Linked DNA regions of Drosophila melanogaster. The protein of the gene in region 1 purifies or fractionates together with the protein of each later gene. This does not show direct contact. Each region holds a gene or a part of one and is shown on either strand. Other genes may lie near its edges. The genes, in order: elg1 and Br140.

What was found.
Region 2: the proteins of elg1 (region 1) and Br140 purify together in Drosophila melanogaster (affinity purification with mass spectrometry; 3 studies listed by BioGRID, with this or other methods). This does not show direct contact.

The regions. Positions count from the first base shown.
Region 1 is NT_037436.4:16,130,358-16,134,485, forward strand, and holds the start of elg1 (enhanced level of genomic instability 1), read left to right. Parts: upstream 1-1,670; 5' UTR 1,671-2,156; coding exon 2,157-2,881; intron 2,882-2,936; coding exon 2,937-4,128. Other genes in the region: SsRbeta (signal sequence receptor beta), read left to right, coding at 149-346; Trs20 (TRAPP subunit 20), read right to left, coding at 749-1,081, 1,139-1,225. UniProt on the Drosophila melanogaster protein: Has an important role in DNA replication and in maintaining genome integrity during replication stress. Promotes PCNA deubiquitination.
Region 2 is NT_033778.4:7,276,502-7,280,101, reverse strand, and holds the start of Br140 (Bromodomain-containing protein, 140kD), read left to right. Parts: upstream 1-2,000; 5' UTR 2,001-2,219; coding exon 2,220-3,363; intron 3,364-3,429; coding exon 3,430-3,600. Other genes in the region: Incenp (inner centromere protein), read right to left, coding at 1-995, 1,061-1,241, 1,305-1,373. UniProt on the Drosophila melanogaster protein: Scaffold subunit of the histone acetyltransferase (HAT) Enok complex which has histone H3 acetyltransferase activity.

The DNA.
Region 1 (4,128 bases):
CAGAAGCCACCGCCAAAGCAAACCAAAATCATTCACTTTTAAATTTAATAATCTCAACTAAGTGAATTTATACACAACAGTCTTTTAAAAATGCCCGTTACCTGTTGAAAGATCGATCAAAGAACTTAATACCCAACAATTCTTGCAGCTCCAACTGGCGGTCAGCTCTGAGCCCGGTGAGGGTGGAATTGTCAACCTGAACGAGTACAACAAGCGCTTCTCCTCCCATTTCTTCGACTGGGTGGCCTTCGCCGTGATGACTCTGCCTTCCCTGGCCATTCCTCTGGCTCTGTGGCACCAGTCCAAGAGCAAATATGAGCGCTCTGGAAAGAACAAGAAGCACTAAGCTGCAGGACGGACGGTTTCCTCGCCACCACCAAGAGATTTCTTTGCAAAGACCCATTACAAATTCCGTATATTTTGTTGCTTTAGTTTCAAATTGATTCCATGCGTTGTTCATCTATTCAACCCACACATCTAATTTACTCCAGTCTGGGACTGTCGTCTGGAGACGGGCGTTAAATCGTTTTAGATTTGATTCGAGGGCGCATTGAGTAAAAAGTGAATAAAACAAGTCCATCAATGTTAAGCCTAGGCTGCTTTTCTAAATAAATTAAATAAAATATAAACTAGATTATTCATTGGTTTCGGGTCTTCTCAACTGTATAAGAAAGGGTAAAGTTATGCTTTTAAATTATTTCAAGTTTTATATTACACAATTACTTAATGGCTACAGGTTTTAACAAATTTATGATAACAAATACTTCCGACCAAAGATCTCCGACTTCTTCTCAAACATCGGAGATTTAATGGGTGTGTTGATGCGATAGAAGGCATTCATGGAGTTTTTGATATACGTGTCATACATCTCGTTAAAGAAGTTCTTGATTCCCTCGTCGTTTTTGTTGTCATGAACGATGATGAATCGTATTTGGCTGGCTGTGATGAAGGCCGAAACAAACCACTGATTGAATCTATCAATGGATTTCAGCTGCATATTGGCCGTCTTCCATTTGTGCTCATCCACCAAATCCAAGGCGGCATGGGCAATAAACTGGGTGAGGTGCCTGTGGTCCTCTTTCTGCAGAAGGAGAATGTATTTACACAGTTCTATGAGACGTTGCCCAGGTCTACATACCCTTAGTTCCTTGTTCACGGTGCTGAATTCCTTCTCGTAAATGGGATTATCATTTTGACCCACAATAACAAAGTAGTATGTGGACATTTTCACGAAAACCAAAACAGTGTAAAGGGCAGTGTGACCAAATCTGGAAAAGTTCCCATAATACCAAATCGAATCAGGTCATCTAAATTACCACCAACAGCTGCGGTAATTTAAATAGAAACAACATTTTATTTTTTAAGCGGGAATATTTAATAAAACTATAAAATACAATGTATAAAATTGTATAAAGAACAAATATAATTATAATTAATATAATATAAAATATAATTAAATATTAGGTGATTCCTACAAATGTATTTCATTCTGTTTTTGTTCTCTACTAATACACAACCTTATAATTATTCCGTTTAGTCTTGGTAATTATATTATTAATATAAAATCATTACTTCACAAAGTAAAAATAGAAATTTACAAACAAATTATTAAAAAGCATAAATGAGAGTGCAACAAATTAATTTCTGCCTGGCCGATCAGTGCTGGAAATAGTTACCCCTCCACTGTTTACCAACACCGTTTCTTCGCGCCTTTTTTCCCCCCAGCACATTGTGCTAACAATTTATACCTTAAGCAAACTTGTATAAAATGATATTTAACGCATAAAGTAGACACCGGAAAGTAATAACATATTGAGGCCCAAGTACCGTTAGAAAGAGGATCGCGATCAACGGGACACCAGTTCGATCGCGGCAGTGTGTGTGCGTGTGCGGGAGTGTAACAAATACGAAAAACGAAAAGTCGCTGCGAAGGTAGATCTCATTATTATTGTATTGTTGTCATGTTTTTGCTTTTGCCCCCGATCTTCATTTGCGATCTTTTGAGTTTGGCTTTCGTATTATCTGTAGATATATCAATTGCTTAAGTACTTAGATCTTACAAAAGAATACCACACCATACACAAACACACGCACACACTCAGCAAAATGCATTAAGCCTAAACCCAAAAAGAAAACAGCAAAAGAGACCCACAAAAATGACCGATGTAAATTGTCTTACAAGTGAGCACATTGCACCCACAACGACCACTGCGAGTCCACCAGGAACTCCCTCCAAAAATGCGGCCACGGATCCCGTCGAGCCCACATCTCCGTTCGTTCTGAGAGCACCGCCCAGCGCCAAATCCAAACTGATACTCCAGAACATGGAGGAAGTGCTGAACTCGGTGAAGCAGAAGCATCGGGAGAAGCACAAGCGAAAGCGGGAGGAGAAGCGCCGCGCAGCACTCATGGAGGACCAGAAGAGCACCACCGAGGAGGTCAAGGCGAATGCCAAAGAGAAACCGCAGCCACTTCGCGAGAAATCCTCCCAAGAAAACGGTCTCAAGAACGGTCGGCGGCGGTCCAGTCCGCTGAAGTCCAGCACTCCGGTGGCCGACAATCAGAGCATCATGAAGCACTTCGCCAAGGCGGGAAAGCCGGAGAACGTGGGTGTTTCTCCGGTGAGCACAGCCAAACCGAAGCCAACCACCAATGTCTTTGAGTTCATGATGAATGCTCGGAATCGCTCTCTGGGGGTTAATGAAGGTGGGGCAGAATCTCCCGCGGATCAAGAAATCGGCAGTGAGGCAGCAACGCCGACCACCAAACGGAAGCTTCTCCTCCAAGAATGGAACGAACGCAAGGGGGGAGCCAAGAGAAGACTAGCGGACGAAGCTCGCGGGGAGTTCATTGAGCTGCAGATGGAGCAAAGGGCAAAGAGGTGAGTTTGATTAAGAATTAGATTCAGAGCGCTATACAACATTTTATTTCCCTAGACTGCGAAAAATGCTGACCAAGACTGACGCCAAAGAGGTGACGGCTCCATCCTCGGCACCCACGGATCCAACAGTCAAGCGTCTAAGAGGTCGACCGCGCTCTCGACGAATCAGTTCCATGGATGCACAGAACCAAATTGTGGAATCGAAGCCCCCGGTCGTGAAAGCAAAAGATCAAGATCCAGGAACAGAGGAGCTTCTCTCGAAGCTTTCGTCGCCCACGAAAAAGCGTGACAGCCTGCTGGGCTACTTTCCCAAAGTGGAATCCCCGAAGGAGTTAGCTGAAAAGGTGATCATTGCGATAGAAACCCCACCCATGGAGACACCCAAGCGAAGAACACTGCGCAGAAAGAGCCAGCAAGAGACACCCATTGTAGCCGAATCCACTCCCTCGTCAAGACCAAGACGATCGTGTGTGGGCAAAGCGCGCTACGATTACGATCTGGAAACGAGTCCCGGCAAGCAACAAAAGGCGAAGCCCCAAAAGGCAGACGAGTCTGTAGAGATTATTGACCTAGACAATAGTAATCCAGCTGCCACACCAAAGAAACTAGCGCCGCTATTCGTCCGTCAATTGCCAAAGCCCAGCCCAGATCCGTCGGTTTTGAAGGCTCGACAGGCGTTTCTGCAATCCGGAGTTCCGGACAAAATTCGACAGGAGCAGATCCGTCAAAAGAACTTCGACCAGATGTACGAAGATAGCTATGAAGTGTTTCCCAGACTGGCGCATATAGGCTGCGAGAGCTTCGGTTCAAAAAACGGTCCTCTGGACATTCCCTTTGCTCTGAGGGCAGAAGAGGAATATTCCGAGGTTACGAAAGCGTTACCCGCCAACAAACGACGTGCCAAAGCGAGTAGCATCACCAGCTGTCTGCCCGCGGATTTTACATCCAGCAAAACTTTGAACAAGTTCAACTATGCAACTTTGCCACAGCTGGAAAATAAACGTGGCTTTGTGAAGCTCTGGAAGAATGATTTCGATCGGTTTCCCACCTTTAAGTGCTATAACCAGATGAGGGAGAAGTATCGCCACTTCAGCGCCATTGACAGTGCACAGGATACGCAGCAAATGGGAGAATCACTGGTGGTAACACGTCGCACTCGCCGTTCAATGGAGCAGAATATGGCACAGAACGAAGAGGAGGCGAAACCACCGCCTTCCGCTCCGAATGGCGAGCTGCTCTTTACGGAG
Region 2 (3,600 bases), on another chromosome or scaffold:
CGGCAGCTTCTCCTCCACCGACTCGTCCTCCGTTAAGAGGCTGTCCTGCTTACTCAGAGGTTGTTTCTTGTCGTTGGAGTGCACCTCAAAAGTGGCATCTCCAGCTGGTCCTATTGGACTATCGCTCGTCGGCGCAGGACCCAGTACGAGGGTGGCGTTGGAAATCGCCACGGTCTCATTGACAGCAGCCGGAGCAACTGCAGCCACTGATTGCTCTGCAACGGGCGGATCTTCGAGTGCATCCTTGTATATGGATCGCTCCTGAACCGTTCGCGAATCGCTGCTACACTTGCGCGTGCGCGACGAGACTGGCGAGCTCTTGTCCAGGTCGCTGAATCGTTCCACCTTTATGGGTCGGTGGCTTTCCACGTCCTTCTTCTTCTTGCGGACCTTCTTGGAGACCTCCGTGGATGTCGTCGTGTTGCTGGCCACCGTATCGTCCGGTCGCGCTGCCTCCGTTGTTACAGAGGAGACGGTGGTCACATTTGCCGTGGAGACCGCATTGGTTAACGGGGGCACTGCTTCGGTACTGAGTTTCTCGCGCTTTACCTTCACGCGGAGTGTCTTCGTGGTGTTCACGTCCTCTGTGACTGAGGCCTCCTCCGGAGGCTTTTGCTGCTCAGCTGTTTCTGCTGCTGGCTCTTCTAGTTCCGGCTCCGCTAGTTTATTTTCCTCTAACGCCTGTGCACTGGTGAAGCTGTTAAACTGGGAGACTCGCTGCTCGCTCTCAACCTTGACCTTTACGAGCTCCTCGCTGCTGGGCCGCCGCATCTTACGGTTGAGTGAGGGCTCCTTGAGTAATTTCTCGGTCTTCAGCTTAGCGGCTCGCTGTGGCCTTCCGGAGCCGAGGGTGGTGTCCGCCGAGACGGGCACAGGCGGAGGCGGCATCAGCGAGGCCGTGGAGTTGTGCTCGTCCTCGGCGATAGCCAGCAACTGGGAGTTGCTGACCCGAGTGCTTTGACGGGCCGACGTGTTGTTGGCCGTGGCGTCTGGAGCTGCTCAAATGGAATATCACAGGGGTTGTTGGTCGTTAATGCTTTAAAATGGCCAGGATACTCACCCTCGGGCTCATTCTGATCCTCGGCCAGTGAGGTGAGTCGCTTGGGGCGCTTTTTCGTTTGCTGCGGCGTCACCGAAGAGTTCTCCTGACTCTTCGCTGCCGGAGCACTGTCCCTCGGTTTGGCCTCCGCCTCCGGCTGGCCTGTGCCGTAGAAGAGGTGGTCCAGCTCCTCAAAGTGGGCCTAAAAAACACATATGACGCCATGTTGACAGTGTCGGAATTTCGTCTCCTGATCCTGGCTTACCTTGCGCAGGACCTCGAGCTCCCTGCGCAGGTCCGAAAGCGAGCCCAGCACGCCCAAGATGTCCTCCATATCTAGCGACTGTATCTGACAAACTGCAAATCCGGATTCGGTTCCTTCGATTTTATCGTTTTTTTCAAATGGCGGCAATTGCGACGCGCGTCAGCATTTGATAACATGCCTTTAATTGTGCACTGTTGACAGTTAACAGCTCGTCGGGTGCTGTAAGGCGCATTTATGCCTCTGCTTTCCAACACTGCACGGGCGATAAAGTTCCCGCGCAAAATGAAAAACACAACCAAAACTTGTTTTTTGAGTGAATATTGGGAGATATTTATTTGAATTCTTTAAAATAATATTATTGGGTTATTTAAATAGTTACGTACTGGATTTCTAGCCCTGTAAATTTTGAAAGTATAACATTAGGTGAACCAGTTCCAATACGTTCCCGCCACTACCATCTCTAGAAAGCAGTGCTGCACGGCTCCCCAAAAAACATATTGTAAACAAATTTGAGGGAAAATGGTAAGGGAAAGAACAAAAAGGAACATTTAAATTATAAATATAGATTACGGAAGAGAATTAATTTGCGTAAAGGACCGGAAATATTTCAAACAAGTTTCAGCAAACGTCCAGTGCTGCACAAGCACTTCCGACGATAGTATCGCCATGGCGAGCTGACCAGCAAGCCCATCTCTAGCACATTTGTTAAAAAATTTGCAACAAGCCAACGAAAATCGACCAGGAACGGTGGACAGCCAAAACCGCGCGCTCTGCGACGACCACCGTGGGATGCACATACGTATGCGCAGCCGTGCCGCGGAGTAGACACAGTGCCCGCGATCCGCGACCAGCGAACCGCCAAACCCCGAGAAGCCAGCTGCAGCAGATCCACAGATCGCGCCGCAGATCCAGATCATGGGCCTCGACTTCGACGCAGTGGAATACTGCAAAGGGGTGAAGACCCAGCAGTCCCAGCCGCCTTTCGCCTGTCCCGTCCGCGGCTGCGACCGCAGCTACAAGACCATCATGGGTCTGCAATACCATCTTATGAAGTACGACCACGACAACCCACAGCCGCTCACGCCCGTGCTGACTCCGAGCCGCAAGAAGGCGCGCTCACGCTCCGGCGGCCACCACTCCACGCCTCGTCCGCACAAGGATCACCCCACGCCGGGTGGCGGTGGAGCTGAGGCCAGAAACGGCTGCTCCTCGGCCAGCGCAGGAGGTGGATCGGCGAGCGGAGTCAGCGCCCGGCAGTACGCCAATCCAGAGTCACTGGTGTCCTACAACGAGGAGGAGGCCACGGTGACGTTTAACTTGGACGGGAAGAGCGTGCGCCTGGGCATCGACGACGCCTTGCCGCTCGTAGAGGACGAAGAGTTCGCCGCCCTAGTGGCCAGGGGCTGTATTCTGAATGCCGACGCACCACCGCTGGAGGAGAACGCGCCCTGGGCAAGGGTCCAGGTGCCCGTGGCCAGGGTGGCCGAGATTCCGGACTACCGAGTGTCCGACGCCCCGCCACGGCCGCTGGCCTACTATCGCTTCATCGAAAAGTCCCTGGAGGAGCTGGACGGGGAGGTGGAGTACGACGTTGACGAGGAGGACTCCGCCTGGCTGGAGCACATGAACGAGGAGCGCCAGCGACTCGGCCTGAACGCCGTGGGCATCGACACGATGGAGCTGCTGATGGACCGGCTGGAGAAGGAGTCGCACTTCCAGGCGGCGGCCAACGGCACACCCACAGGCGTCGAGGTGGACGACGACGCAGTCTGCTGCATTTGCCTCGACGGCGAGTGCCAAAACACCAACGTGATACTTTTCTGCGACATGTGCAACCTGGCGGTACACCAGGACTGCTACGGTGTCCCCTATATCCCGGAGGGCCAGTGGCTGTGCCGCCGATGCTTGCAGTCACCCAGTAAGCCTGTGAACTGTGTGCTCTGTCCCAATGCGGGCGGCGCATTCAAGCAGACGGACCACGGGCAGTGGGCGCACGTGGTGTGTGCGCTTTGGATACCGGAAGTGCGGTTCGCCAACACCGTCTTTCTGGAGCCAATAGGTGCGTAGCTCGATCTCCCAGTTTCTTTGATCCCAGTTCCAAATAACATCTGAGTTCTTTTTATAGATTCAATTGAGACCATTCCCCCCGCTCGTTGGCGACTCACCTGCTACGTGTGCAAGGAGAAGGGCTTGGGAGCCTGCATCCAGTGCCATCGGAACAGCTGCTACGCCGCCTTCCACGTTACATGCGCACAGCAAGCGGGCCTCTACATGACCATGGACACGGTTAAGGACG